Linked DNA regions of Callithrix jacchus. The protein of the gene in region 2 interacts with the protein of the main gene of each other region in a pairwise test. Links are inferred from orthologs where the notes say so. Each region holds a gene or a part of one and is shown on either strand. Other genes may lie near its edges. The genes, in order: NIF3L1, DHPS, NUDT18, REL, MAPK3 and EIF5A2.

The links.
Region 1: the proteins of DHPS (region 2) and NIF3L1 interact in binary tests that used the Homo sapiens proteins (3 or more experiments, as listed by UniProt). The two-hybrid records come from large-scale screens. The link is inferred for Callithrix jacchus from reciprocal best matches to the Homo sapiens genes DHPS and NIF3L1.
Region 3: the proteins of DHPS (region 2) and NUDT18 interact in binary tests that used the Homo sapiens proteins (3 or more experiments, as listed by UniProt). The two-hybrid records come from large-scale screens. The link is inferred for Callithrix jacchus from reciprocal best matches to the Homo sapiens genes DHPS and NUDT18.
Region 4: the proteins of DHPS (region 2) and REL interact in binary tests that used the Homo sapiens proteins (3 or more experiments, as listed by UniProt). The two-hybrid records come from large-scale screens. The link is inferred for Callithrix jacchus from reciprocal best matches to the Homo sapiens genes DHPS and REL.
Region 5: the proteins of DHPS (region 2) and MAPK3 interact in binary tests that used the Homo sapiens proteins (3 or more experiments, as listed by UniProt). The link is inferred for Callithrix jacchus from reciprocal best matches to the Homo sapiens genes DHPS and MAPK3.
Region 6: the proteins of DHPS (region 2) and EIF5A2 interact in binary tests that used the Homo sapiens proteins (3 or more experiments, as listed by UniProt). The two-hybrid records come from large-scale screens. The link is inferred for Callithrix jacchus from reciprocal best matches to the Homo sapiens genes DHPS and EIF5A2.

The regions. Positions count from the first base shown.
Region 1 is NC_133507.1:122,002,875-122,007,335, forward strand, and holds part of NIF3L1 (NIF3-like protein 1), read left to right. Parts: coding exon 1-186; intron 187-1,056; coding exon 1,057-1,219; intron 1,220-3,460; coding exon 3,461-3,587; intron 3,588-4,461. UniProt on the Homo sapiens protein: May function as a transcriptional corepressor through its interaction with COPS2, negatively regulating the expression of genes involved in neuronal differentiation.
Region 2 is NC_133523.1:11,499,038-11,504,020, forward strand, and holds the start of DHPS (deoxyhypusine synthase), read right to left. Parts: upstream 3,135-4,983; 5' UTR 3,020-3,134; coding exon 2,813-3,019; intron 2,649-2,812; exon of another isoform or gene 2,541-2,648; intron 2,208-2,540; coding exon 2,043-2,207; intron 1,806-2,042; coding exon 1,684-1,805; intron 1,603-1,683; coding exon 1,506-1,602; intron 1,427-1,505; coding exon 1,340-1,426; intron 1-1,339. UniProt on the Homo sapiens protein: Catalyzes the NAD-dependent oxidative cleavage of spermidine and the subsequent transfer of the butylamine moiety of spermidine to the epsilon-amino group of a critical lysine residue of the eIF-5A precursor protein to form the intermediate deoxyhypusine residue.
Region 3 is NC_133514.1:19,378,246-19,383,188, forward strand, and holds NUDT18 (8-oxo-dGDP phosphatase NUDT18), read left to right. Parts: upstream 1-1,621; 5' UTR 1,622-1,727; coding exon 1,728-1,889; intron 1,890-2,653; coding exon 2,654-2,867; intron 2,868-3,095; coding exon 3,096-3,691; 3' UTR 3,692-4,116; downstream 4,117-4,943. UniProt on the Homo sapiens protein: Mediates the hydrolysis of oxidized nucleoside diphosphate derivatives. Hydrolyzes 8-oxo-7,8-dihydroguanine (8-oxo-Gua)-containing deoxyribo- and ribonucleoside diphosphates to the monophosphates. Hydrolyzes 8-oxo-dGDP and 8-oxo-GDP with the same efficiencies.
Region 4 is NC_133515.1:53,236,960-53,241,420, reverse strand, and holds part of REL (proto-oncogene c-Rel), read left to right. Parts: coding exon 1-40; intron 41-623; exon of another isoform or gene 624-691; intron 692-1,669; exon of another isoform or gene 1,670-1,826; intron 1,827-2,498; coding exon 2,499-2,647; intron 2,648-4,461. UniProt on the Homo sapiens protein: Proto-oncogene that may play a role in differentiation and lymphopoiesis.
Region 5 is NC_133513.1:29,409,306-29,413,476, forward strand, and holds part of MAPK3 (mitogen-activated protein kinase 3), read left to right. Parts: intron 1-2,514; coding exon 2,515-2,704; intron 2,705-2,887; coding exon 2,888-3,004; intron 3,005-3,253; coding exon 3,254-3,368; intron 3,369-3,749; coding exon 3,750-3,881; intron 3,882-4,048; coding exon 4,049-4,158; intron 4,159-4,171.
Region 6 is NC_133518.1:16,140,395-16,145,417, forward strand, and holds the start of EIF5A2 (eukaryotic translation initiation factor 5A-2), read left to right. Parts: upstream 1-1,781; 5' UTR 1,782-1,879; intron 1,880-2,581; 5' UTR 2,582-2,616; coding exon 2,617-2,781; intron 2,782-3,330; coding exon 3,331-3,435; intron 3,436-5,023. UniProt on the Homo sapiens protein: Translation factor that promotes translation elongation and termination, particularly upon ribosome stalling at specific amino acid sequence contexts.

The DNA.
Region 1 (4,461 bases), on a different chromosome or scaffold from region 2:
GGAAGGCAGACCTCATTCTCTCCTACCATCCACCTATCTTCCGACCCATGAAACGCATAACGTGGAACACCTGGAAGGAGCGCCTGGTGATCCGGGCTCTGGAGAACAGAGTGGCTATCTACTCTCCTCACACAGCCTATGATGCTGCACCCCAGGGAGTCAACAACTGGTTGGCTAAAGGGCTTGGTGAGAAGCCGCTTTCATATTTGTTATTTTACCTACAAATACTTTGAAACTTTCGAATGTCTTTCCAGTAAAGTTTTGACTGCTTTCGGGGTGGGAAGGGTATCATTCCATTTTTATATCATTTTAAAATAATTTTGCTGAAATTTGGCAGTTAAATTGCATTTGAAAAGAGAAACATTTTTTATCTTTATGGAATGAGAGCAGAAGTCTTCCTTACTGGACTGAGCTTCGTGATTCCTCATTTTTGTGGCACAATGCCTGTCACCTAGGCACTTGAAAAATGCTTGTTGAATTGAAAGCTCAGGTCTCTCCAGAATACACTTGATACGTCAGGTAGATAGACGTCAGGGATTTAATGAATGTTTTTAGTGAATGTTTACCTATGCCTAGCCCAATGAGGGAATGATATATGCATTTTAGCTTTACTTTAATAAGTCTTTAATTTACTCATTTTGGGCTGAAGCTTTTATGATGATATCTGGATTACTATGGTCAAATAGAGTACGAGCATTTGCAACCTGAATAATGGTTTATGTGGGTAGATTTACCAAGCAGTAGACAGTTCTGTGTATTATCTAAAAATGTATGAATCAATCTTTCTTGTCCAAGTTTTTTAGAGATTTAAGAATCTTTTGGAAAATAATTCTGAAAATAATTTGACTTTGTATGTCCATACCAAAGCCCTAGATTATGGGGAATGGTGATGTATATCTAAGGGATATGTATGTGTGTGTGTATGTATCATATAAGCATGAGAATGAATCTTTTAAAAAAGTCATTTCTTAGAAATTTTGCCTACAATAGTTTATCTTTTAAATCTTAACCTCTCATCCCCCAAAACTCCCATTTTCCCACAATTATTTTCTCTAGGAGGTTGTACTTCCAGACCCATACATCCTTCCAAAGCTCCCAACTACCCTACAGAGGGAAACCACCGAGTAGAATTCAGCATTAATCACAGCCAAGACCTGGACAAAGTCATGTCCGCAGTGAAAGGAATTGAAGATATTTCTGTCACTTCTTTTTCTGCTAGGTAAAATTTCTCTCTTTTTTTTTGTGTGTGTATTTATTTGTAAGCTTCTTCCTTACAAAGTCTATAACCCTGGTATTTAGGCTTGAAACAAATCATTTTCTCTGGATTTGGTTTACAAAGCAGCGTACTCCTCATTTGTATGTGAGTCCTGGAGAACTATTGACTTTTTTTCAAAACAACAAAAATGGTAAGTAACACTTAATTGAGTATTTCTATGTTGGGGGGTGATACTCTGCATTTTATTTATTTATTTATTTATTTGAGACAGAGTCTTGCTTTCACCCAGGCTGGAGTGCAATAGCGTGATCATGGCTCACTGCATCCTCTGCCTCCTGGGTTCAAGTGATTCTCCTGTCTCAGCCTCCCAAGTAACTGGGATTACAGGCGTCCACCATCATGCCCGGCTAATTTTTTGTATTTTTAGTAGAGACAAGATTCCACCATGTTGGCCAGACTGGTTTTGAAGTCCTGACCTCAAGTGATCTGCCTGTCTCAGCCTCCCAAAGTGCTGGGATTACAGGCGTGAGCCACCACACCTAGCCCCACCTCAGCCTCTTGAGCTAGGACTTCAGGTGTCAAAGGAAAAATACATTAAGCGCCTCTTTAAAAGGTCAGTCATTTAGTTATTTAGGGCAGAGAAAGGAGGTTTTTCTTTTTGTTTTTTATTTTTGAGAAACAGGGTCTTTGTCACCCAGGCTGCAGTGCAGTGGCATGATCACAGCCCACTGCAGCCTTGACTTCACATGCTCAAGCAATCCTCCCACCTTAGCCTCCTAAATAGCTGGGACTGTAGGTGCTTGCCACCCATGCCCAGCTAATTTTTGTATTTTTTGTAGAGACGGAGTTTTGACTTATTGCCCAAGCTGGTCTCGAACTCCTGGGCTCAAGCCATGTGCCCCCCTTGACCTCCCAAAGTACTAGGATTGAGCTGCTGCCCCCAGCCTAAGCTCTCATTATTTTTAATTGCTTATAGTGTTTTTTTTTTTTTTATTATGGATGAACGGTAGTTTCTTTAAGCATTCCTCTTCCTACTGATGGACTTATTAGTTTGGTTCCAGTTTTTCCATATTGTAGATAATATCTGGGTTTTACCATTAGATAGGGACCAAGGCATTGGTTTTCTTTCTTTTTTAAAACAATCCACAGATGATTCCAGTGTTTATAATTAATGCTTCTAGATTATTTTTAAAGGTGTCTTTTTAGTTCTAGAATTTTATGATCATATTTAGAGTTTATGGTTAAATGTAAAACTTTCTTGATGCCAATAATTTTGGAGAGGCCCCAGAGGGTGATCCAAAGACCCCCTGCATGATTATTAATGAGCTGCTTATTTAAAATGCAGATATTTGTATTCATCTCAGATCTTTGTAAGTAAAATGGAGTTTGCCTGAGAATCTGTCCAGGACATTCTTGGATTCAGTGTTGTTTTAAAATTATCATCTTTAAGGTTTTAAAAAAATTCAGTTTGCCCCAGCCCCATTTGTAGATGTTCTGTTTCACTGGTTCTGTGGAAGGATCCAGCAGCTGTTATTTTAAGAAGCTAGAAGGAATTTTTTTTTGTTTTGAAACAGAGTCTTGCTCTCTCGCCCAGGCTGGAGTGCAGTGTTGTGATCTCCGCTTACTGTAACCTCCACCTCCCAAGTTCAAGTGATTATCTTGCCTCAGCCTTCCTAGTAGCTGGGACTACAGGCGCCCACCACCATGCCTGGGTAATTTTTTTGGTGTTTTTGGTAGAGTTGGGGTTTCTCCATGCTGCCCAGGCTGGTCTCGACTCCTGGGCTCAAGCGATCCGTCCACCTTGGCCTCCCAAAATACTGAGATTACAGGTGTGAGCCACTGTGCCTGGCCAGGAAATTTCTGATGCACGATCAGGATTGAGAACAGTTCTTGAATGGTGGTTTCAAAGTGAGGTCCCTGGACCAGCAACATCAGCATCACCTGGAACTTGCTAGAAAGGTATATTCTTAGATTCCCACCTAGATATAATGAATCAGAAACCCCAGGAGTGGGGCCCAGCACTCTGTGTTTTAATAAGTCCTCCAGGTGATTTTGATGCATACTTGAGTTAGAGAAATGCTATTCTAGAAAATTGATTAGTTTCATATTAAATGGGTTCTATTGGTTAAATCCTTAGCTCCATGTAAATCTAATCTCCTATTATAGTAGGTTTGTAAACTGTGGATTATCTAAAATACATTTTGGCTATATTTATCCTAAATGGAATGATTTCCCCCCCCCCAGAATTGATGATGAGGAACAAACACGGATTAGTTTGAATTGTACTCAGAAGGCTTTGATGCAGGTCGTAGATTTTCTTTCCCAGAACAAACAACTTTATCGGAAGACAGAAATTCTGTCACTAGAGAAGGTAATAAATGTATTTTGTATTTGATCTTAAAATACTGTGCATTTTCTAACAACTTTATTGAGGTATAACCGATATACTAAGAATCATACATATTTGGTATATACAGTTTGATGAGTGTCATTACTTTGCATTTTTCTTCAGGGAATCCATTTGTAAGTTATTAGATCAACAGGCCATTCACTGTTACCTAAAGTACAAAATGGCAATGAGAGCATAATATTCTCTGGGAAGTAATTGAGAAGGGAGACATTCCAGGAATTAAAATGTTGGTACTTCAGGGTTACAGATTTGGTTACAAGTTTGCTGTCTCCTTATGTTACTCCCTCTGCCTGGACCATGTCATTCACTTTAACTCAATAGCCATTTGTATGATGATAATTCCTATCTTTTTGGCTTAGAATGCTTTCTTAAGGAAAAAAATGACAAAAACCCTTATTTTCAACTACTTTCTGGATGTGTTCTACTTACAAAGCCCACACGTTTTTCAAATTCAATATATACAAATACTTATCCCTGCACCACCTCTTTGTATCTTTTTTTTTCCTATTTCATATTTCAATATCATTATTTACTTTAGTTTCCACGTTTTCACATTCCTCCTTGACTCCAAGGCCTGCTGATTCTGGCCTCACATCTATATAGTGTTTCTCCTCTGTATTGGCTCTGCTATCACAGTAATTGAAACTCTCATTTTCTGCGATGAGAGTAGTATCCCTGAGCAGCTAGGAGGCAGTCCAGGCTCTTTAGCACAGCGTTGGAAGCCCTTAATGATCTGCTACAGCCCGGGCCTCTAGCCTCCTCTCCGTCCACAGCACATGCTCTGCACAGTAGCCAGAGAGCCTTCTTTTGGATCTGCCTCCCGCAGTGTGTTCTC
Region 2 (4,983 bases):
ACAATCGCTTGAGCCCAGAAGCTCACTGCAGTGAGTCATTATTGTGCCAGTGCACTCCAGCCTGGGCAACAGAGTGAGACTCTGTCTCAAAAAAAGAATAGGTAGGCTGGGCGTGGTGGCTCACACCTATAATCCCAGCACATTAGGAGGCCAAGGCCAGCAGATCACCTGAGGTCAGGAATTCAAGACCAGCCTGGCCAAGATGGTGAAACCATCTGTACAAAAATACAAAAATCAGCCAGGCATGATAGCGGGTGCCTGTAGTTCCAGCTACTCGGGAGGCTGAGGTGAGAGAATCACTTGAACCCAGGAGGCAGAGGTTGCAGTGAGCTGAGATCCTACCACTGCACTCCAGCCTGGGCAACAGAGCAAGACTATATCTCAAAAAAAAAAAAAAGTAGCTTTCTTTTTTTTTTTTTTCAGGTTCTGAAGATCTAATTAAAGGGAGTGGGTAGCTCTTATTTTATAGCCTCTGGGAGTGTTGGACCCTGAGCCAGGCCCCAGGGGAGTTGCTAAGTGCTGCCACTACTGTTCCAGAGATAGTCTGGGAGGAGGATAAGGAGGCTGAGGCCCCACTAGTTATCTGGGTGACTTCAGACAAAATTACCTAGCCAGGCCAGGAATGGTGGGCCATGGCTATAATCCCAGCACTTTAGGAGGCCAAGTGGGAGGACTGCTTGAGGCCAGGAGTTCAAGACCAGCCTGGGCAACATAGGAAGACCCCCATCTCTAAAAAAAAACTTAAAAATTAATTATTTTTTTTTTGAGACGGAGTTTCGCTCTTGTTGCCCAGGCTGGAGTGCAATGGCTCGATCTCGGCTCACCGCAACCTCCGCCTCCTGGGTTCAAACAATTCTCCTGCCTCAGCCTCCCGAGCAGCTGGGACTACAGGCATGTGCCACCATGCCCAGCTAATTTTTTTTTTTTTGTATTTTTAGTAGAGACGGGGTTTCACCATGTTGACCAGGATGGTCTCGATCTCTTGACCTCGTGATCCACCCGCTTCGGCCTCCCAAAGTGCTGAGATTATAGGCGTGAGCCACTGCGCCCGGCCAAAAATTAGTATTTTGGGGCACAGTGGCATATGCTTGTGGTCCCAGCTACTCAAGAGGCTGAGTGGGAGGACTGCTTGAGTCCAGGCACTGCAGCCTGGATGACAGAGCAAGAGCCTGTCTCAAAAAAAAAAAAAAAAAATTACCACCCCTATCTGTGTTGGAGTCTCCTCATCGAAGAGTGAGGATGCTAAGAATAACAGTAGTGACTCCCCAGGTGGCTGGAAAGATAAGGTAAGTTAACACAGGCCAAAGTCTGGCTACTTTGCCCCTGCCTATATCCTCACCTTCTGGGCCCAGTAATACACGGACTCTGGGTTGTTGATCTCCTTGCCCAGGCGGGCGATCATCTTTGAAGGCGTCCACTTTACACCCTAGGAAAGGACATGAGCTTCAGCCCACGCCTCCCCTGACTACTGCTGGACTGGCCCCTCCCAGTCACCCTGGCCCCACCTCTATGTTCTGCTCCAGCACCATCTGGTCCAGAATGGGCATCAGCCAGTCCTCAAACTTGCAGTAATTATTATTGGGCACCAGCAGGTTTCCGATCCTGAGGACAGGAAGCAGGTGGGCATCAGGCCCCAGGATCCGTGGTCCAGCTCCCCTGCCCACCACCACTCAGGAGTCCCACCTGTTGATCCCATTCTCCCGGAGCTCCTTCCCTCTGAGGCTAAACTCGCCCAAGTAGGTGGGGGCCAGGCACTTGATGAGGTCTTCCTCCACTCCGCCAGCTGTAGTCACCAATACATCCACCTGCAGCCACAAGGCAGTGAAGTTGGCCCAAGAAGGAAGACCCTGCCCTCATTCTGGGCAGGACTTCTAAGCTCGTCCTCGTCCAGTTACTCTTAAAAGAGAGCTCTGCTACAAAACAAAACTTGATTCTATTCCTCTGCTTAAAACGGACCCCTATCTCCCATCTCACTTAAACGATTAATAACTGCATCGCCCATTGACCCAGAGGCCAAGGCCACGGCCCCACCAGGTCCCCACCATGTTGTGCTGCACAAGGTAGCGAATGGTCTCACGGATGCCTGAACTGATGAGGTTGGATGTATATCCCAGGAAAATGGTGCAGCCAGTAAGTGGGCGGCGGCTCTGGGTCAGGTCTGCGTGTTGGTCTTCATCCTGTGACAGCGGTTCCAGCTTCTTCTCAATCTGGGGGTAAGAGCCAAGTCGAGTTAAGCACTGGTCCTAAATTCCAGCCCCAGGACTCCAGGTGGGCTCCAGAAACATTCCACCCCAGGTCCTGCCCATTCAGGGATACAGGACCAGTACTACCAGGAACCAAGGAACACCCCCTGTGCAAACAAACCCTGCCCCTTCCCAGACCAGATCTCAGGACACGCATTCGGGATTTGTCCCCACCCTTTTAAGAACAAGAGGGCTCTCCTTTTCAGATCCCGTCCCTTCCCCGGTGGCAAAAGCAAATCTAAGTTCAAGCCCCGGGGCGCGGAGACTTAGGCTCCTCCTCCCATGTGCCCCCTTAACCTGTTTTGCCCCAGGCTCCGCTCATTCCAGAAAGCTTTAGACCTAGAACCCGGCCGCCCACCAAGAAACCGTTCCTGCCTCCTCAGGCTGTCCTAGGATGTAACTACTAGAGTGCAAAGTCCCCTTCCCAGGACAAAATTCCCGTCCAGTATAGGTCCCGCCTTCTTCGAACTGCTGGGCCGCTCAAATACAAGCCCGCCCCCTTCGAGTACCGCCCTGGTTCTACAAGCCACGCCTCTCCGCGGCCCTGGAAGTCCCGCCCCCGTCCTCACCATGGCATTGACTTGCTGTACAGCGCGCCCGAAGTTGGTTGCTTGGAAGCCGGTGGTGCCGAAGGCCTCCAGCAGTGCGCGGTAATCCACGCCGCGGTTGAAGTCGTAGCCCCGGACCTGGGCGCTTTCGGGCGGCAACGTCGAGCTGTGCTTTAGCACAGCGGCCAGCGCCGCCGCGGGCGCCTCCCCTTCTGAGGAACCTTCCATGCACCTGCAACCGGCTCTCGAGTCACAGATGCCCCTAGGCCGGAGTTACGGCTGTCCAGAAACGCGTTTACCCCGACAGGCACGTCTCCACAAGATCACAGGAAGCCAGGAAAGCGCCTTGGAAGACCGGAAGTTGTTCGATCACGTGACCTTCTTTAGCCCTCCGAACCCAGGTAGCTGCCATCTTTATGCACGTATTCCGTAATACGGAAGCCGCGAGGAGCCTTTATTCCTTTTCACGAGTTCTTGACTTCGTATAAATGAAGATTCTTTTTTTGTTTTCATTTTTTTTATTTCAATTTTTTTTTCTTTTGAGATAGAGTTACGTTCTTGTCTCACAGGCTGGAATGCAGTGGTGCAGTCTCGGCCCACTGCAACCTCCGACTCCCCCGCAGCCTCCGGAGTAGCTGGGACTACAGATGTGCATCACCGTGCCCAGCTACTTTTTTTTTTTCTTTTTGAGACGGAGTCACCCTCTGTCGCCAGCTTCGAGTGCAGTGGCGCGATCTCGGCCCACTGCAACCTCTGCCTCCCGGTTTCAAGCGATTCTCCTGCCTCAGCCTCCCGAATAGCTAGAACTACAAGCACGCGCCACCATGCCCGGCTAATTTTTGTTTTTTTATTAGAGACGGGGTTTCACCATGTTGGCCAGGATGGTCTCCATCTCTTGACCTCATGATCCGCCCGCCTTGGCCTCTCAAAGTGCTGGGATTACAAGCGTGAGCCACCGCGCCCAACAGTGCCCAGCTAATTTTTGTATGGGAATCTATTCTTTTTTTCTCTCTTTTTCCTTTCATTTTCTTTTTCTTTTTTTTTTAACTTAACATTCTTGGAGTTTAGAGGATCGCTTCTTAAGCGTCGCCCATGGACAGGATTTCAGTCACCAGGCGGAGTGAAACACGGTTTCAGCTTTCCTCAGCCTCTCTTGTCTAATGGAATAGTGAGCCTGGTTCGTGCCCTTGCAGGTTTCCAAAGCTTTCACATGCTGCATAACGCTCTGTTCTTCCTTCCCCTATGGCTGCAGCTGTCACCTCCTCTGGGAAGTCTTCCCTGAACTTCCACTGGGTCAGTAGCCTCTTCTGGGACCCACAGCTGACATCTTTCCCTCCAGCAAGACTGTGAGACCCTCGGTATCTCAAAGCACCCTCCTAACAGTGCATACAGTCGAGAGAATTATTCACTTACTCTACAGTTCGTGTAGTATGTTCTATACGGTGGGCCCTGTGCTGGACACTGAGGAATTAGTGGTGAAAGAGACCAAGATGTGGACCCTACTGGAGCCCACAGTCTGATTGGGAAGATGGAATGTTAACTATGTTGAGTGCAATCAGGAGTTTTTTTTTTTTTTGAGATGGAATCTCACTCTGTCACCCAGGCTGGAGTGCAGTGGCTCAGTCTTGACTCACTGCAGCCTCTGCCTCCTGGGTTCAAGTGATTCTCCTGCCTCACCCTACTGGGAAGCTGGGATTACAGGAACCCGCCACCATGCCAGCTAAGTTTTGTATTTTTAATAGAGATGGGGCTTCACCATGTTGGTCAGGCTGGTCTTGAATTCTTTACCTCATGATCCCCCTGCCTCGGCTTCCCAAAGTGCTAGGATTACAGACGTGAGTCACTGTGCCCAGCTTTTTTTCCTTCTTTTTGAGATGAAGTTTTTTTTTTTTTTTGAGACGGAGTTTCAGTCTTGTTACCCAGGCTGGAGTGCAATGGCACGATCTCGGCTCGCCGCAACCTCCACCTCCTGGGTTCAGGCAATTCTCCTGCCTCAGCCTCCTGAGTAGCTGGGATTACAGGCACGCGCCACCATGCCCAGCTAATTTTTTGTATTTTTAATAGAGACAAGGTTTCACCACGTTGACCAGGATGGTCTTGATCTCTTGATCCACCCACCTCGGCCTCCCAAAGTGCTGGGATTACAGGCGTGAGCCACAGCGCCCGGCCCTGAGACGAAGTTTTACTCTTGT
Region 3 (4,943 bases), on a different chromosome or scaffold from region 2:
TAAGGAAGCTCTACAGGCACATTTCACCAGGCGTGGTGGCTCATGCCTGCAACCACAGTGCTTTGGGAGGCCAAGACGGGAGGATCACTGAGGCCAGGAGTTCGAGACCAGCCTGGGTAATATAGCAAGACCCCTCTATCTCTACAAAGAATTAAAAATTAAAAAACTTCGCCAGACCTGGTGTCGCACACCTGCAGTCCCAGATACTCAGCAGTCTGAGGCAGAAAGATAGCTTGAACCCAAGAGCTCAAGACTGCAGCTCCAATCTGGGTAACAGAATGAAACCCTGTCTCTAGGGGGTAACAAAAGGCACATATTATGAGGACGGGCCTTGTGTGTGGTAGCAAGAAGAGCTAGGCCCGAGAGGGACCACCCCTGAGGGTTGGTGGGCTGCCCAGGGGTGGTGCCCAGCACTGGACAATCCACACAGCTCCTCTCTGATTGTCATGCCTTCCCAACACACCTGTAAAACAAGAGTTGTTATGACCCTACTCTACAAATCAGGAAACTGAGGCCCACAGCTCACCCAGGGGCACAGAGCAAGACAGCCAGCAGCGACCAGCCATCTGGCTCCAGGTCTCGAGCTTTGTCCACACCACCAAGCCTGTCTTCCTAGCAGGGAGGTGCAAAAAACCAGCCAAGGAAGAGGAAAGGGGTGGCCTCTGTGGGGTGAGGAGCCAGACGGCCTGCTTCGAAGATCCCTTCCAGCTGGCCTTGACTTCCACTGCTGAAATGCGAGTGAAGGAGGAAAGGTCGGGATGGGAGAGGAGCCGGCGCTCGCCACAACAACCCCCACCCTGCTCTCCATGCGCCAGGTCCTGCACGCTGGGTGGGAGGGTGACGACAAGGATGGAGGAGCAGGGCCCCAGCCCCGCCCTCCCAGGACGCACCGTCTGCAGCGGCGAGGGCCTTGAGCTGCGTGGGAAATGAGGTGGGCAGAGGGCCACTGATGAGGGTGGGCCGGCTGACTGCAGCCCTCTCTCAGCCCCCGACACCTCCCGCCACCCCCGGCCCTGCCCACTCCCTCTTCCAGCGCCGGTCACTCTTCTTGCCCAAGCCAAGCCTTTAGCACTTAGCCTCGAACCGTCAGCTGATTCCTCATCTAGGACTACGCCCATCTCTCCAGCTACAACAGAATATCCTGAAAGGCAGGGGTTTACGTCCCCCACCCCAGGGGCCACATGACATAACTCTTTAGTAGAGTGAGAACAAAGTTATTTGGGATGTGATCAACTCCGGCAATGCCGTAGTGTGTTTACGGCAACAGCGGGACGGTAGGTCCAAGGGGCGGCCCCGGATCTCCGTGACGTCACCTGGCTTGTACGTCACTGTCGCTTGCGCCGGCGGCGAAAAGCACCCTGCATGAGAGATAACTTGACCATCGGAGCCCCTGCGGACCAGTGCGCGCTCAGGCAGTCGGTGAAGGGGGCAGCTGGGAGACGTCCCGAGCGTGCGGGACCGACAGGCGGCAGAAGCCCGGTGGGAGTCCGTGGGGTTCCGGCCGGGAACCCACCCTGCTCCCAAGCGGCCCCGCCCCCTCGGTGACTGTCGCGGGCCGGCCAATCCGGGCAGGCCGCGGCGCCGCGCAGCCTATCAGCGACCAGGGCTTGCGTGCGCTTCCGCGTTCGCGTGCGCGCCCAGGCCCGCCGCCGCCGGATCCCGCACTTGTCCGCGGCTCGGTCCGGCGGGTCAGCCAGGACCCGGGCCGTCGCTTCCCGGGGGACCCGATGGCTTCCGAGGGTATGGCGGGAGTGCTGGCGGCCGTGCTGGCCGGCCAGGGGCTGCGCGTGCAGAGCTGCGACTCGGCGCCGGCCGGGGAGCCACCGGCACCGGTGCGGCTGCGGAAGAACGTGTGCTACGTGGTGCTGGCGGTGTTCCTCAGCGAGCAGGTGAGCGGCCGCCAGCCGGGCCCGCAGGGCCTCGGGAGCGCGCAGCCAGCCCAGGTGGGAACGGAAGACCCAACGGCCACAGCCAGCGCTGCCGCGTGCATGGCGCTGCCCAGTTTTGCAAAGCACTCCCATTCCCACTCGCATCTGTGTCCTGCAGTCGTCCCAATATGGAGAAGAGGAAACTCAGGCCGGGGGCCTGTTCGTCTCACCCCACTAGGCCTCATTCTTTCCCTTCCCAGAGTCTAGCGGAGTGCCCAGGACCCCTCAGATAGCAGTCGCTCAACCCTGGCTTACCTCAGGCCTTTGGTGTGGATCCCCGTACTGGGCAACTAGAAGGGGCCAGGGCCATAGGGCAGGGTTGTACAAGGTGGAGGTCGGGGGTCGTGTTTCAAAGCCAGACCCCAGGGTGAGGATCCATCACAAACAGTTCATAGGCCACGCCGCTGGAGACAAGAGATACCCAATGACATGTACAGACGTAAGTCAATGCAAGACTGACACATGGTGGCCCTCACTCTGGGGCCTCATCTCCAGCCCCTGAAGCAGCTTCCAGGAATCTCAGCCCTTTCTGAAGTGCAAGTTTTCTTAACTCCAGAGAGGGACTAATTGCAGGGAGAAGGTTGCAGCCCCCAGCAACTTGAGGGCAGATCTCCCGCAGCGCTAGCTGGTTTAAGGGCGATCTTGGGCGACTGTGTTTGAGATGCCCCCTGGTCCCTGGGCTGGGGAAGGCTATGGCAGGAAGTGAAGATGCTCTCTCCCCTCAGGATGAGGTGCTACTGGTCCAGGAGGCCAAGAGAGAGTGTCGGGGGTCGTGGTACCTGCCCGCGGGGAGAATGGAGCCTGGGGAGTCCATCGTGGAGGCGCTGCAGCGGGAGGTGAAGGAGGAGGCGGGGCTGCACTGTGAGCCTGAGACACTGCTGTCCGTGGAGGAGCGGGGCCCCTCCTGGGTCCGCTTCGTGTTCCTCGCTCGCCCCACAGGTATGGCCTACCTGGAGGCAGTATGAACAGGGCCAGTTGACATCTTTTCCCCAGCTGCTTGGTGAGGTGAGCCCCTCCACAGCCAGTCCTGTTATGGCACTCTGGCATGGGCAGATTCCAGCCTGCAGGCTGGGGGCCTCTCTCCTGGGTCAGGGATGTCTGTTGAAGCTGCCAACACTGCACTTCTCTCCACACAGACCCTCTGCCCCATCCCCCACATCTCCCCAGGTGGAATTCTCAAGACTTCCAAGGAGGCTGATGCAGAGTCCCTGCAGGCTGCCTGGTACCCACGGACCTCCCTGCCCACTCCACTGCGAGCCCATGACATCCTGCACCTGGTTGAGCTCGCTGCCCAGTATCGCCAGCAAGCCAGGCACCCTCTCATTCTGCCCCAAGAGCTGCCCTGTGATCTGGTCTGCCAGCGGCTTGTGGCCACCTTTACCAGTGCGCAGACAGTGTGGGTGTTGGTTGGCACAGTGGGGATGCCTCACTTGCCTGTCACTGCCTGTGGCCTCGCCCCTTCGGAGCAGAGGGGTGGCATGAAGATGGCTGTCCTGCGGCTGCTGCAGGAGTGTCTGACCCTGCACCACTTGGTGGTGGAGATCAAGGGGCTGCTTGGGCTGCAGCACCTGGGCCGAGATCACACTGATGGCATCTGTCTGAATGTGCTGGTGACTGTGGCTTTTCGGAGCCCAGGGATCCAGGATGAACCCCCGAAGGTTCGGGGTGAGAACTTCATTTGGTGGAAGGTGACGGAGGAAGGCCTGCAAAGCCAGCTCCTTCAGCGGCTTCAGGGATCCTCTGTTGTCCCAGTGAACAGATAGGGCGGGGGAGGAGGTGACGAGGAGCTGGGCGGCTGTGCTCCCTCCAGTGTGGCCTTGTCTCCCTCTGAGGGAGGCAGGAGGCTGGCGACCAGGGATCTTGTTGCATTGGGAGCAGGGGTGCTTTCCTGGTCCCCAGAAGAGATGCTTTGAGGAGCTTTCCTCTAGATCGCACAGGGACAGTGCCTTTAACCAAGCAAGGAATCCAAAGCTCAGGACCTGGCCACTCTTCGGGCACACTGGCACTTCTCCCCGGGGGTTGGGAGCTTTCTGCACTCCCAGTGGTGTCTTGTCATCACAGTTTGTGTTTTCCTTGGGAAAGGCCTGCATCCTGATCCCTCCAGGCCCTTAGAGCTGGGAGGGGCCCTGGGGAAGGTCTCCTGAGGGAGGAGCCCTTGCTCAGTAAAGAGGTGTTGCTTACCTTGCCTCCCTGCCTAGATGTCTCTGTGGGGACAAAGTGATGTGGACTGCGTCCAAGAGCTGCTCCTCCCCTTGTGCCACCGACAGCCACCTATGTCTTTCCCAGTGCACTGACAATGCGGGCCAGCCTGCTGTCCAGGCTGGGCTGCTGGCCTGGGATGTGACTCTTGAGGGGACCCATCCCTCATGAAACACAGCTTGAGTCCTCCAAGGGTTGGGTAGTGGGTGACCCTGGGGGAGGTTCACGTGGGACAGGAGAGAGCGCTGCCTCAGCTTTCTCCTTGAGCCTCCCTGGTGTGGACCCCTCCCACGGCTCTCCTGCCTCTGCCTTTTCACAACTTCAGCCCACGCCAGACCAAACCTTGTCTTCATTTCCCCTCAGCCTGGCTGAATCACGGTAGGATTTTTTTTATTTTTTAAGTAAGCTCCGGGCATAGTGGCTCATGCCTATAATCCCAGCTCTTTGGGAGGCTGAGGCAGGTGGATCAGTTGAGGTTGGAAGTTCAAGACAAGCCTTACCAACATGGAGAAATCCTGGTTCTACTAAAAATACAAAATGAGGCAAGTGTGCTAGCTCAGCAGGAGAATCACTTGAACCCCAGAGGCAGAGGGTGCAGTGAGCTAAGCTGATATTGCACCATTGCACTCTAGCCTGGGTGACACACTCCCTCAAAATAAAAAAGAACTTTGGCCAGGCACAGTGGCTTACACTTGTAATCCCAGTGCTTTGGGAGGCTGAGGCAGGAGGATTGCTTAAAGGCTAGAGTTTGAAGCCAGCCTGGGTAACATAGTGGGACCCTGTCTCTACAAAACAAAACAAAAACAATTAGCCAGG
Region 4 (4,461 bases), on a different chromosome or scaffold from region 2:
GCACAGCACAGACAACAACCGAACATACCCTTCTATCCAGGTAATAGACCCTTCTTCTGTGTCTGTCTCTATTAGTTGCCTCATAGATCAGCTATAGCAATTATTTTTAAGGGCCAGTTTCTTCACAGTTATATCCACAGTTTTGTCTTTTTATTTTTTCCTCTTTTCCTTTTCTTTTCTTTTTTTTTTTGAGACGGAGTTTCACTGTTGTTTCCCAGACGGGAGTGCAATGGCGTGATCTTGGCTCACCGCAACCTCCGCCTTCTGGGTTCAAGCAATTCTCCTGCCTCAGCCTCCCAAGTAGCTGGGACTATAGGCGCGCACCACCATGCCCAGCTAATTTTTGTATTTTCAATAGAGACGGGGTTTCACCTTGTTGACCAGGATGGTCTCGATCTCTTGACCTCGTGATCAACCCGCCTCGGCCTTCCAAAGTGCTGGGATTATAGGTGTGAGCCACCATGCCCGGCCCCTCTTTCACTTTTTTAACAGATCTATATTAGATAGATGTCTAAGGACATTTCTTAAATATAGTATGGAGTCTTTCCCACTGCAGATAGTTATATGGTGCTTGTGTATTAACCTAAGTAGAGCGACTCATAATGTTTAGTGTACATTGACAGCTTTTGGATCATGTTCTCTTTCATGGAACACACAGCTAATAAGGAAAACACATTCTCTCCTTACAGAGGTGAGTGATATTATTCTGTAGATTAAACATGGATTTGAGAACTCAATCACAATTCTTCTTGGCTAGTCTTAGGACTAGAACATCTTTTTCTTCTTTTTCCTTACCTTTATTGCCTGTCTCTGATTCTCTGACTCGTTGACTGATTTGAAATAACACTTTTTAAATATGGTTTTTTTTGTATTAGCATAAATTTTGAAAAACTTTTGACTTTGGTAAACATACTAATAGTTATAAGATGTACTAGATTTATTTATTTTTATTTATTGAAACAGTTTCGCTCTTGTTGCCCAGGCTGGAATGCAATGGCATGATCTCGGCTCACTGCAACCTCTGCCTCCTGGGTTCAAGTGATTCTCCTGCCTCAGCCTAACGAGTAGCTGAGATTCCAGGCACCCACTACCATGCCCAGCTGATTTTTGTATTTTTTGGGAGAGTCGGGGTTTCACCATGTTGGCCAGGCTGATCTCGAACTCCTGACCTCAGTTGATCTACCCGTCTAGGCCTCCCAAAGTGCTTGGATTACAGGCGTGATGTACTAAATTTATATTTTCTATTTGTCAGCTATTTTTTTATTTGACTTTCAGTGAAGGGTTTATCCTTTAAATGCCAATTAAAAACTTTAATGGCAAAGTAGATTTTGAAGTGTTACTTTTATCAACAGATCTTAATTCACTGTTTTATAAGTAGATTATTTACAAAGTCTATTCTTTTGATGAACTTAAAGGGAATTGCTAATTATAGAATAAACTAATGGCAAGATTATATATTGAATTCCAGATTCCTATTTTTATCACATTTTAGGCAGTAATATGGATTTGGGTTATCTAAGTATTTTAAATGTTAAAATGGATGAGGTGCTAATAAAAAGGAAATAAGGAAATACTATTTGTCCAATTTTGGAGCCATTTTTAAACTATAATTCATCTTATCCTATGCATCTCTAAAATATTTCTAAGATCTGTATTTTTACAATTCCAGTAGGTCCTGAACACTTTGCAGCTTGAGTTTTGTATTTGCCTCCTTAGAGTCTTGAGCAATTACCTTCTCTTTCATCCAGAAAGAAATGTAATACCTTCTGGTTACTGTTCAAATTCTATTTAAATTCAAAATTACAGATTTTAGTGGCCGCTACCTGGTAAGCTACCCATTCTTACTTTACCTTGTTCCTTTGTGGTATGCTGGTTTTTATATGCCCTGCTTTGTTCTTACAAATTTACTAGCTTTCAAACTAAGCATTAGTTTCTATCCTTCCTTTTCCATGTTAAACTCTCCTTTTTACTCTGTTCTGTATGTACTTTCTATGTGAAATTTGATGTTGTTAAACTAAATTTGATTTATTGCCTATTCTAGAGTGAACTCTTGGGGTATGCTTACTGAACAAATATTTTTATGAAGTGGAATGTCACATATTAAGTAAAATGATCATTTTATATGCTATCCTTTCCAGTGTGGCTTAAATATATTTTCAAGGAATGTTTATGGCATGACAGTACATTTAAGAGCTGGGCATTCAGTAACTTAACATCTGTTTTCTCATGTCTATGATAAAATTTGGGTATAGTTTATTTGTTTTGAAAGGAAAATAAGCATAGTCAAATGATTTGACCAATTGAAATTAGGGCAGAAAATATGTCAATGAACTGAGAGGTAAGTTTTTCTCTACTGGTATTCTCTGGAAAGTTTCATCAGTTGGACTTTATTTATCAGGTGTTGATTACATGATAATTAATGTAAATTGAACTCTCATTTAGATCTGTTTATAATGTGATCCATTTGGATCATATATTTAATTTCCCCCTTTTTTCAGATTATGAACTATTATGGAAAAGGAAAAGTGAGAATTACATTAGTAACGAAGAATGACCCATATAAACCTCATCCTCATGATTTAGTTGGAAAAGACTGCAGAGACGGCTACTATGAAGCAGAATTTGGGCAAGAACGCAGACCTTTGTTGTAAGTATACAGTTACAGACATCTTCAGAAACAAGATAAGGCATAGGATGCTCTGTTTCTTCTCCATGACAATTTGTTACTTTTAAGCAGAATAATTTTCTCATTCTAATTCTGTTTACTATGTTTTACATCTTCTTACTATTTGCATTACAACTACCCTTTCGTTCTTCATTTGTAGACACATCTTATGATGATGATTAGCAGGAAGACATTTTTGTAGTTATTTAAAGTAAACATTAAACTTATTGTATACTGTGATTTCCTTTCTTGGGGTGAACAGTTTTTTAAATAATTTTTTACTATCTTTTCATTTATAGTTATCTTTATTATTATTGTTGTTATTATTTTGAGACAGGGTCTTACTCTGTTACCCAGGCTGGAGTACAGTGGCATGATCTCGGCGTATTGCAACCTTTACCTCTAGGCTCAAGCAATCCTTTAGCCTCAGCCTCCTGAGTAGCTGAGACTACAGGATGTACCACCATGCCGAGCTAATTTTTGTATTTTTCGTAGAGATTGGATTTTGCCGTGTTGCCCAGGCTGGTCTTGAACTCCTAGACTCAAGCAGTCTGCCCACCTTGGCCTCCCATAGTGCTTGGGATTATAGGTGTGAGCCACCATGCCACACCCATTTATAGTTAATATAAAAATGGCTGGATGTGGGAGAAATCAACTGGAAAACTCTACAATTATTATTTAGAAAGTAGCAGGTTATAGAATTAACATACAGCAATAGTTCTAAGAGAAAAATAATTATGTAATAGTTTATGATCGTGAGGCTACCAGAAGGTGGGCCCATTCATCATGTTAGTGAGAATGTAAATTAATGAAATCTGTTAGGCAATTTAACTACATAGCAAAAGCCTGAAAAATATGAATGCCTCTTGAGCCCGCAATTCCACTTCTAGTTTAGCTTCAGAAAATAAATAAGCCTATTCAGACATTTCACTCTAGTGCTGTTCATTGCAGTTCTCTTTGTAATGGCAAAAAGCTAGAAGCAATCCAAATAGTAAAGGGGATTAACTAAATAAACTGGTACATTCATCCAGTGTACTCCTGTACAGCCTTAAAAATCATATTGCAAATATGTCTACTGATATGTAAAGACAATCACAATATATTAGATACATAGGGTTTTTTGCTTTGGTTTTTTTTTGTTTTTGAGACGGAGTCTTATTCTGTTGCCCTAGCTGTAGTACAGTGGTGCAATCTCGGCTCACTACAATCTCCATCTCCCAGGTTCAAGCAATTCTTCTGCCTTTGCTTCCCAATTTAGCTAGGATTACAGGTGTGTGCCACCATGCCCAGATAATTTTTTGGTATTTTTAGTAGAGACGGTTTCATCATGTTGGCTGGGCTGGTCTCAAACTTCTGACCTTCAGTGATCCACCTGCCTCAGCCTCCCAAAGTGCTGGGGTTACAAGCGTGAGCCACCGCAGCTTGCCAGATAAATAGGTTTTAAAACAATATGTGAAGAATAATCTTATGTTTATAAATATAAATTTATATATATACATGATAGTACATATGTTAGTACTAAAGTATTAATAGTAGTTGTCTGGGTGGGTAAGATTGTAGGGTTTTATGTTTGTCTTTTACCTTATTTTATAATTCATTTTTGTAATGAACATGTATTGGCTTTTGGGGGAAAATGAACTAGTTACAATAAAAAAGAGATTCATAGTCCCACATATATTAGTAATAACCATTTAGAAAAAAAATGCCTTAAATGCTCCTCTTAACAATAATAACACAAAACATACACACTTGGCAAATATTTGTCTATATTACTTGACCTCTCAATAACATTTTAC
Region 5 (4,171 bases), on a different chromosome or scaffold from region 2:
TTCAACATGTTGACCAGGATGGTCTCAATCTCTTGACCTTGTGATCCACCCGCCTTGGCCTCCCAAAGTGCTGGGATTACAGGCATGAGCCACTGCATCCGGCCTTCAGCTCCATTTCAAAGATGAGGGGTGGAGAGCAATGGCTCACGTCTGTAGTCCCAACACTTTGGGAGGCCAAGACTGGAAGATTGCTGGAGACCAGGAGTTCAAGACCAGCCTGGGCAGCATAGTGAGACCCCATCTCTACAGAAAATTTAAAAATTAACCAGGTTTGGTGGTGCACAATTGTAGTCCCAGCTACTTGGGAGGCTGAGGCAGGAGAATGGCTTGAGCTCAGGAGTTAGAGGCTGCAGTGGGCTGTGATTGTGCTACTGTACTCCAGCCTGGGGGACAGAGAATGACCCTGTCTCAAAAAAAAAAAAAAAAATGAGGAAGCTAAGACCCAGAAAACCTAAAATCAAGTGTTTCTCTTGCTGTCTCCTCCTCCCCTCCCCCAGATGGGAAGTTGTCCTTCCTCTAGGACTTCTCACTCCAAGCAGCACCCTAATCACCTGTGGACTTGCACTTTGCCCAGGGAGGAGACAACCTAGCCTTGGTCTCCTCCCCTGATATTGCTTTCCTGGTTTGCTGTCCACTTCCTGGCTGGCTCTTTTGTTAGCAACTTGTGACACCTGTCACCTCTTCCCTGCCACACCCAATCACTCTCGGTCCCAGCACTCCACCCAAGAGAGGGGATTTGTACTCTGGTGTCTATAGCCCCCACCACAAACTGTGGACAGGAAATCTCCGCGTTCAGCCCCAGCTCGCTGTGTCATCTGAAGCAAGTCACTGCATCTCACTGGGCCTCCCCAGCTCTAAAACAGCAGGGCTGGTCCAGATGTTCTCTGAAGACTTCTTCAAGGCAGACCCCCCCTCCCCCCCCCCCCCCCCCCCCCCCCGCTCTGTTGCCCAGGCTGGAGTGCGGTGGCTAGATCTCCAATCACTGCAACATCCACTTCCCAGGTTCAAGTAATTCTGCCTCAGCCTTCCAAGTAACTGGGACTACAGGTGTGCACCACCACACCCGGCTAATTTTATATTTTTAGTAGAGATTTCACCATGTCGGCAGGCTGGCCTCGAACTCCTGACCTCAGATCACCAACCCACCTTGGCCTCCCAAAGTACTAGATTACAGGTGTGAGCCACAGCGCCTGGCCTCAAGGCAGATTCTAAAAGACAGACCTGACTTATTTTTCCAGACACAAGCCAAACGACATTTGTGGATTTATTTATTTATTTACTCACAGTCTTTGTTTTAGCTTCAAATGGAAAAAGACATTTTACTCCTCCATCTTCTGAGGTATGGCCAAGCACTCTTCTTTGAGTGGGAGTGTGCTGTTGGGAGTGTCTCCTCGTTTTTCTTGCACAAACCATTCCCATAAGGCAGGCATTTATTTTTAAGCAAACATCTATTGCATGCCAGATGGTGTTCATCCATTATCTCATTTAACTCCCGCGGCGTCCCTGTGACTCAGGCCTTGATATTAGTAATAATAGTTCACGTTTCTTTAGCACTCACAACTTGCCAGGCGCTGGGCTGACAGCTTTACATGCGCCACCTCATCTAGTCTTTACAGCCACCCTCGAAAGAACCATTATTTCATGCTTGCACCTGTAATTTCCAGCACTTTGGGAGGCCGAGGCGGAAGGAACTCTTGAACCGAGGAGTTCAAGACCTGCCTGAGCACATAGCAGGAGTCCATCTCCACAAAAAAGAAAAAAGCAAATAAACAAACAAAAAACATTATTTCCCCGACATACTAGGTGAGAAAGTTGAGGCACAGACAAGTTGAGATCTTAAAGCCAGTGAGTAGTAGAGAGAGGATTTCACACATCCATGGGTTAACTCCTTTTTATTTTTTAAAATTAATTTATTTATTTTTGAGACAGAGGCTCACCCTGTCATCCCAGCTGGAGTGCAATGGCAAGATCTTGGCTCATTGCAACCCCAACCTCCCGAGTTCAAGCCATTCTTATGCCTCAGCCTCCTGAGTAGCTGGGATTACAGGCACATGCCACTGTGCCCGGTTAATTTTGGAATTTTTAGTAGAGACGGGGTTGTGCCATGTTGCCCAGGCTGGTCTCAAACTCCTGGCCTCAAGCAATCCTCCTGCCTCAGCCTCCCAAAGTACTGGGATTAGAGGCGTGAGCCACTGCTCAGCCCCAGTTGCTGCTCTTAACTGTGAGGTTCTCCTGCCTCCCACAGTTTATTAGTATCCCCATTTTCCCAGTAGAGAAACTGAGGCCACAGAAATGAAGCCTTTTGCTCAGGCTCAGCAGCTTCAATGCAACAGAGGCTGAGTCCTGCTGCTGGGTGACAACGGCAGCTTGCCCAGCTGGCGGTGCAGGTTGGAAGTTCTATTGAGCCCCAAGGGCCCTGGCTGGAGGTGTGCAGGCTTGCCTTCAGAGCCTGTTTTCCTTAACCAAGTGCCTCCCGCTGCCCCTTGCCCGGGGGGCCTCCGGAACCATCCTTAGCTACATTGTGCAGGACCTAATGGAAACTGACCTGTACAAGTTGCTTAAAAGCCAGCAGCTGAGCAATGACCACATCTGCTACTTCCTCTACCAGATCCTGCGGGGCCTCAAGTACATCCACTCCGCCAATGTCCTCCACCGGGATCTAAAGCCCTCCAACCTGCTCATCAACACCACCTGCGACCTTAAGGTCAGAGGGTTGGGCACCTGTCTCCTCCTCCCCCAGGGTCTGGAGCTTCCAGGTGACCAGTGGAAGCCATTGGCAGGAGAACATTGCAAGCCAGGGGAACAGCAGAAGCAAAGACAAGGGGGAGTGACTGCTTGGGCTGCGGAGGCCTTGAGTGCCAAGCTTAGCAGCTGGGTCTGATTCCAGATCTGTGATTTCGGCCTGGCCCGGATTGCTGATCCTGAGCACGACCACACTGGCTTCCTGACAGAGTATGTGGCTACACGCTGGTACCGGGCCCCAGAGATCATGCTGAACTCCAAGGTAGGAGGGGCTGCCCACTCCTGAAGGGAAGGGGCCAGGTCCCAGGAAGCCCTGGAGCTACCTCTGAGCCAGGCACTGACCCCCATTCCACCCTCTGGGCTTGGGCTCTGCAAGGAAGCTGAGAGTGGAGCCCTCCAGGCCTCTGCCTTCTGCCTGGTGTTGGATCTAGCTTGGGGTGGTGGCCTGGCACAGGCAGCAGGACCCTGTTGAGGCTGTCCCGGGAGCCCATCACTTCCTCCTTTCTCCCAGGGCTATACCAAGTCCATCGACATCTGGTCTGTGGGCTGCATTCTGGCTGAGATGCTCTCCAACCGGCCCATCTTCCCTGGCAAGCACTACCTGGATCAGCTCAACCACATTCTGGGTGAGGGAGTCCCGGCTGACTGAGTGGGGGATAATTAGCTTTTCCTAGGTGAGATTTCTTGAGAGTCCGAGTCAGGGATATCATCATCATGTACGGGGTGCCTCCAGCATCTCCTAGACCTCAACGAGGTATAGATATTATCCCCACTGGAAAGATGGGAAAAGCAAGGCTAAGTCCTACACCTAAGGAGGCACCACACCTAGGATTTGAGCCTCAGTCTGCCTGAATCCAGCCCCTTGCTCTGCTGGGAGAGCAGACTAGGAGGTGACTAAGAGTTTGGCATGGGTTGCTAGGCTGGGGGGTCTTGTTCTTGCCCTCTTGCCTGTTCTGTTCCCAGAAAGGAGGAGGTGATCATTTACCAAGTCACCTCCTTATCCACAGGCATCCTGGGCTCCCCATCCCAGGAGGACCTGAATTGTATCATCAACATGAAGGCCCGAAACTACCTACAGTCTCTGCCCTCCAAGACCAAGGTGGCCTGGGCCAAGCTTTTCCCCAAGTCGGACTCCAAAGGTATGAGAGACGTGGGGACGGGTGTGGCATAAACCCTGGGAGCTGTGGAGGGTGCGTGAGTCCAGCAGCCACCGGAGGAGACGGGCCCTGGGCATGGGGAAGCAAAGCGATGCTCCTGGGAGCTCCTCCAGCCTTCCCTGTGACCCCTGACTCCTGCCCTTCCATAGCCCTTGACCTGCTGGACCGGATGTTAACCTTTAACCCCAACAAACGGATCACAGTGGAGGAAGCGCTGGCCCACCCCTACCTGGAGCAGTACTATGACCCAACGGATGAGGTGGGCCAGTGCC
Region 6 (5,023 bases), on a different chromosome or scaffold from region 2:
ATTTGTCCCTTTTAGTTTTATGAGTTTTGAAAAACATATCTTGATCATCATAAAACTCATCATAAAACTAAAAGGGAAATTTTACTTTATATGAATAACTTAAAAAGGTTAAAAATAGAGAGCAGCAGTCAAGATCAAAGGAACAATGCATGTGAAAAATTTAGTACCCTACTTCCCTATATAAATACTAAATACTATTAGTGCTCATTCTAAAAACAATAGGGAAAAGTTAGAAGGTATAAGGAAAAGCAGAAAGACCTCATGAACCAAAACTCCAATCTGGCTTTTTCTTTCTGGGTGATTGGGCGTGGGGGGGCGGGATGGTCTCACTCTGTCACCCAGTTTGGAGTGCAATGTCCAGATCTCGGCTCACTGCAGTCTCCACCTCCCAGGCTCAAGTGATAGATCATTTCACCTCAGCCTCCCAAGTAGCTGGGACCACAGGCGCAGGCCATCACTAATGTTTTGTATTTTTGGTGGAGACAAGGTTTCGCCATGTTAGCCAGGCTGATCTCCTACTCCTGAGCTCAAGCAACTCACCTGCGGAGGCCTCTCAAACTGCTAGGATCGCAGGCATGAGCCACTGCTGTAATGGCTGTTTCATATATTAGCTAGAGGCTGAGTTCAGTATATGAGAGGGCAGTAACTTACTGTAAAAGTTAAACTGTACATGTTTGAAAGATATGTGTAAACTGTAGTCATATATGAATGTGAGATATGAGATTATTCATAAGACAGTAACAGGAAATCAAAGTACCACATAAATGCGGGTGTGGAATGAGAAGTAATTTCCTAGGTCACCTCCCCAAGAAAGGACACAGTGGGTTGTGAAATAAAAATGTGAAGGGGGAGCACATCTCTTTTAAGAACCTTTCTATTGCAGTCTACAAGCTCTAGGTCAGTTGTGAAGACCATCCAAGCGTTCTAATACGGCAGAGTTAAAACCCAAACTCTAAGGAATGCCAATACCAGGAGGAAAGAAGGGATGAGTTGGCAGGACACCTGTCTGGACCAACAATGTGATACGGGTCAGACAAGCTCCGCCTCCACAACTTCACAACAGCTTTTGGTGTGAGAAGTGGATTAAGTCATTTCACTGCTGCTTGTAAGCTGGCGGATGCTTCAGGAGTGTCCACCCCAGGGAGCAGTGCTGACTCTACAGGGGCACCCTGCGGCAGTCAATGCCAAAATCTCACCAAGGGGTGAGTGAGGTTCTCAGAACCCATGGTGCCGAGCCGGGTAATAAAATACTGCACGTGAGTTCTTCTGCGAAGACCAGGAGGGGGCTTCGAACCCCAAGAAAGGCTGCAAGCTGAACCAGAAGCTCTAACCCAAAGTTCCCTTCACAGCCAGCCACATTGGCACTCACTGAATCTGCGCACCTCACGAGTGCCGACGATCGTCCCGTGATAACTGCCATGTACCTGACGGCACGGGCCACCGGGTGCCTCACTTGGTTCCCATTAAAGTAGACTGCGACCCAAACGCAACAAACCTAAGAGTTGGAAGGCGCAAGTTCCTCTGCCAGCGAGCTCACTCAAGCAACCAGAATGCTGAAAGTGCTCTCCACGCCGGAAGTGCACTAATCCGCAGCACGTGGGGTTGCCAGGGCGCGCTTCACGTGACTGGGCGGGGCCTCGGGAACCTGGTAGCCAATGGTAGCCCGAGGGGGCGGTGCCTGTGACGCTCCAGGGCCTATCCCGGAAGTAAGGCTGGGGTGGGGGCGGGTAAGGGCGGGGAGGCTGGGGTGTGGAAAGTGTGGCGGCCCCGCCCCGGCTCTTGGAACTGCCGCGGCCGCCAGCGCCGCCGCCGCCGGCGCCGCAGCTGTGGGGGACCTGCGCGGGTGCGCAGGCGAAAGGCGCTCGTAGCCAGCTGAAAGGTGAGGATCTGGGGAAAAGCTGATGGGGATGGGGCCAGAGCGAGGCAGGGCCGGGGAAGGCGCCCAGAGCCGAGCGCTGACCGAGGGAAGGAAGAAGAATGGATAGGGGAACGGAGGCAAGCGCGGGACCCGCCGGGGCTCAGGCCCTGGTGGGGCCGAGCCGGGCCGGGCCGGGCCGAGCCGAGCAGAGCCGGGGATGCCGGCAGAACAGGAGGCGCTTGTGCGGCCGCAGCGGCGGCGCTGAAGGGTGGAGGGCGCGGTGCGCGCCCGTTAGCAGAGGGCCGGGTGCTGCCGGCCAGGTCCTGTTACTCCGCATCCTTCGCGGGGACGTGCGGCCTGGGCTGGGTCCCCCGCAGTAGGGTTCGGGGCGGCGGCGGAGAGCTGGGTGGCGCGGGAAGGTCGCCGGCTTCTGCGTTGGGGCGATGGGCGCCAGAACCTGCTGTTTCCAGCGTGGAGGAGCGCCCAGGGCGGATGTCCCCACCCTCTGCGGGCTCCTCTGCGACTTCTCATCCCACCTCCCCAAACAATAGCTGGAAAAGTTTCTAGAGGCCAGAGTTAGAGAGTGCCCGCTAGTCTAGGGTGGGTGTTCTATACATGCAGAAATAACAGGCCCATGATGCTTGGCACATAACTTGTCCGAAATGAGACGTTTCCCTGCCTACACACCCATTGTTAAAAAGCAACCACAAACTTTTTGTGTAGTTCACACAGAAAAACTACCACCTCCCCAACCCACCATGGCGGACGAAATTGATTTCACTACTGGAGATGCTGGGGCTTCCAGCACTTACCCTATGCAGTGCTCGGCCTTGCGCAAAAACGGCTTTGTGGTGCTCAAAGGACGACCATGCAAAATAGTGGAGATGTCAACTTCCAAAACTGGAAAGCATGGTCATGCCAAGGTAAGTGCCCTTGCTGTTCAGGCTTTGGCTTCGGCCTTGGGATTTTGCTCATTTGTATTCTGTTGCAGATCATGAGATTACTATACTTAAAATTTTGTAATAAGCACTATTTTTTTCTGTCCCACAATTGCTGAGTGATCAGTTATTACTTTGAAAACTTAAAGGTAGCATTCCTTTCTTGGACCCTTACAATGTTTCATTAACGGGGAACTGAAACTTTCTTGAATGGTAGTGACCTAGGTCTATTCAGTTTACAGATGAGAAAACCTGTTCTACTAATTCTAAGAAACCTACACTTTATTTTTCTTGTCTACTCATAATTGAATCACTGGACTATATTGGGTCTTGGCAGGTCATGATACTCTTTAGTTGTTACTGCATCTTAATTGTATGACCATTACTTTTTTTTTTTAAGAAAGTAAAATTAGATGACCTTGGAAGGAGGAGAAAAAGAACCTGTCGTAATCAGCGTTGGTATTGTACTCTTGTGTGTGTAATGAGTGATATACTTGGCAGAGATTAAACAGGTTTCCTGTTCCCCTCTGTTAGGTTCACCTTGTTGGAATTGATATTTTCACGGGCAAAAAATATGAAGATATTTGTCCTTCTACTCACAACATGGATGTTCCAAATATTAAGAGAAATGATTACCAAGTAAGCACTGATTTTTCTTTAGAATGTTGCTTGTTTCTTCAAGGTACAAATACTTCATACTATCAACAGCAATTTGACAAAACCCAAGAGTGGTTTTGTAGGTTTTTCTAACCAAGTATTAGGCACCACCTATCTTAGAAATTGGAGAAATTATGATGTTTAACATGTGTTCCTTTTATAGGATTATTGCCAGCTTGCTATTTTTTCATATTCTTGCATTTTTTAAAAAGTCAAATACTTATTGTGTTCCTCAGGCCAAGTGACTGCATATTCCAGCTAAGTCCTATGCTTTGTAAAAGTACCATCCTCTCTGTTGTAAAATATTTCTAATTTAGATAGCTCCCTCCTGGATGTTTTGTTTCTTTTCACTGATCAGACTTAAGACATTCAAGAAACTACTGAAATTCATGTTCCTACCAAGTTTTTCATGTTAATGAACATGAGTCAGAACTTGACATTCTTAAGTAGGGAAATAAGCTGAAACCCATAAATATAAAGGATAAAATACACGGTCACCGAGTATGATAAAGAAAACACAAAAACTATATAAATGGTTTAATTATATTTAGTGACCATGCTGTGACCTTTTGCTAACTTATATATGTAAACCTCAAGTTTCAGTTATACATTGGGGAGGTCATATTTAATGATAGCATCTTAGTGTTTGGAATATCGATGGTAACCAAATAATTGACCTCATAGGATATGGAAGCTCAGATTACTCAAAGCTAAAGCTTTTCTTGAAAGTCTTCACTTTTTGTATCAAGCATACCATATATCAAACTCATTTTTGCTCATCTTACATAGTAAAAAATGCAGAGTTGACACTGAGATTTGTTTTATCCAAATTAAACTGACTTTTTTCTGTACCTTTTATTGTATTATATAGATTTTTTTAATGTTGCTATCAGCTGCACCCAATGATTTTCTTTTGCTGTTTGTCCACCTGCAAACATAATTTTTGGAGTTTCAATCTAGTAACACTTATATTTTCACTTTCCTACCTGTCCTAAATGTTTTCTAGATTGCTTTGAAGTCTTTGTAGAAATTTGAATTGTCTTCATATAACAGCAAGTGTTTTTTTTGTTTTTTTGTTTGTTTTTTAATGAGGTAGATCTGGGTTTGGATCTAGTTCTGCCACTTTCTAGTTGGATGATTTTGGACAAGTTATACAACCTGTCTTAGCCTGTTTTCTCATCACAAAATCAGGATAATATGAGGATAAATGAGAAAATATACCCCTTTTGTGGATATGTATCAACAAGTATTCTTCTGTTTCCCCCTTTTCCTATGTATAAATTCTACTTTATCATTTCTTTATTGTTAGAGCACCAAATTTGATGTGGTGTGTAGTAGATGCTCAAAATGCATTTGTTAAATGTATATGTGATTATTGAATGTGGTAAGGATAATACAGTAGGCCAAAGCTGAGCATAGAATTTTCTTTTGTCAAAATTGGGTTTCTCTTTTCATCTTAAAATATGAATGTGTTGAATATTCAATATTCATTATATTCAGTAATATTCAATATAGAATGCTTTTGCCTATTGCATATTTCAGAAAGATGGTGTCAGCATTTCAGTAATTA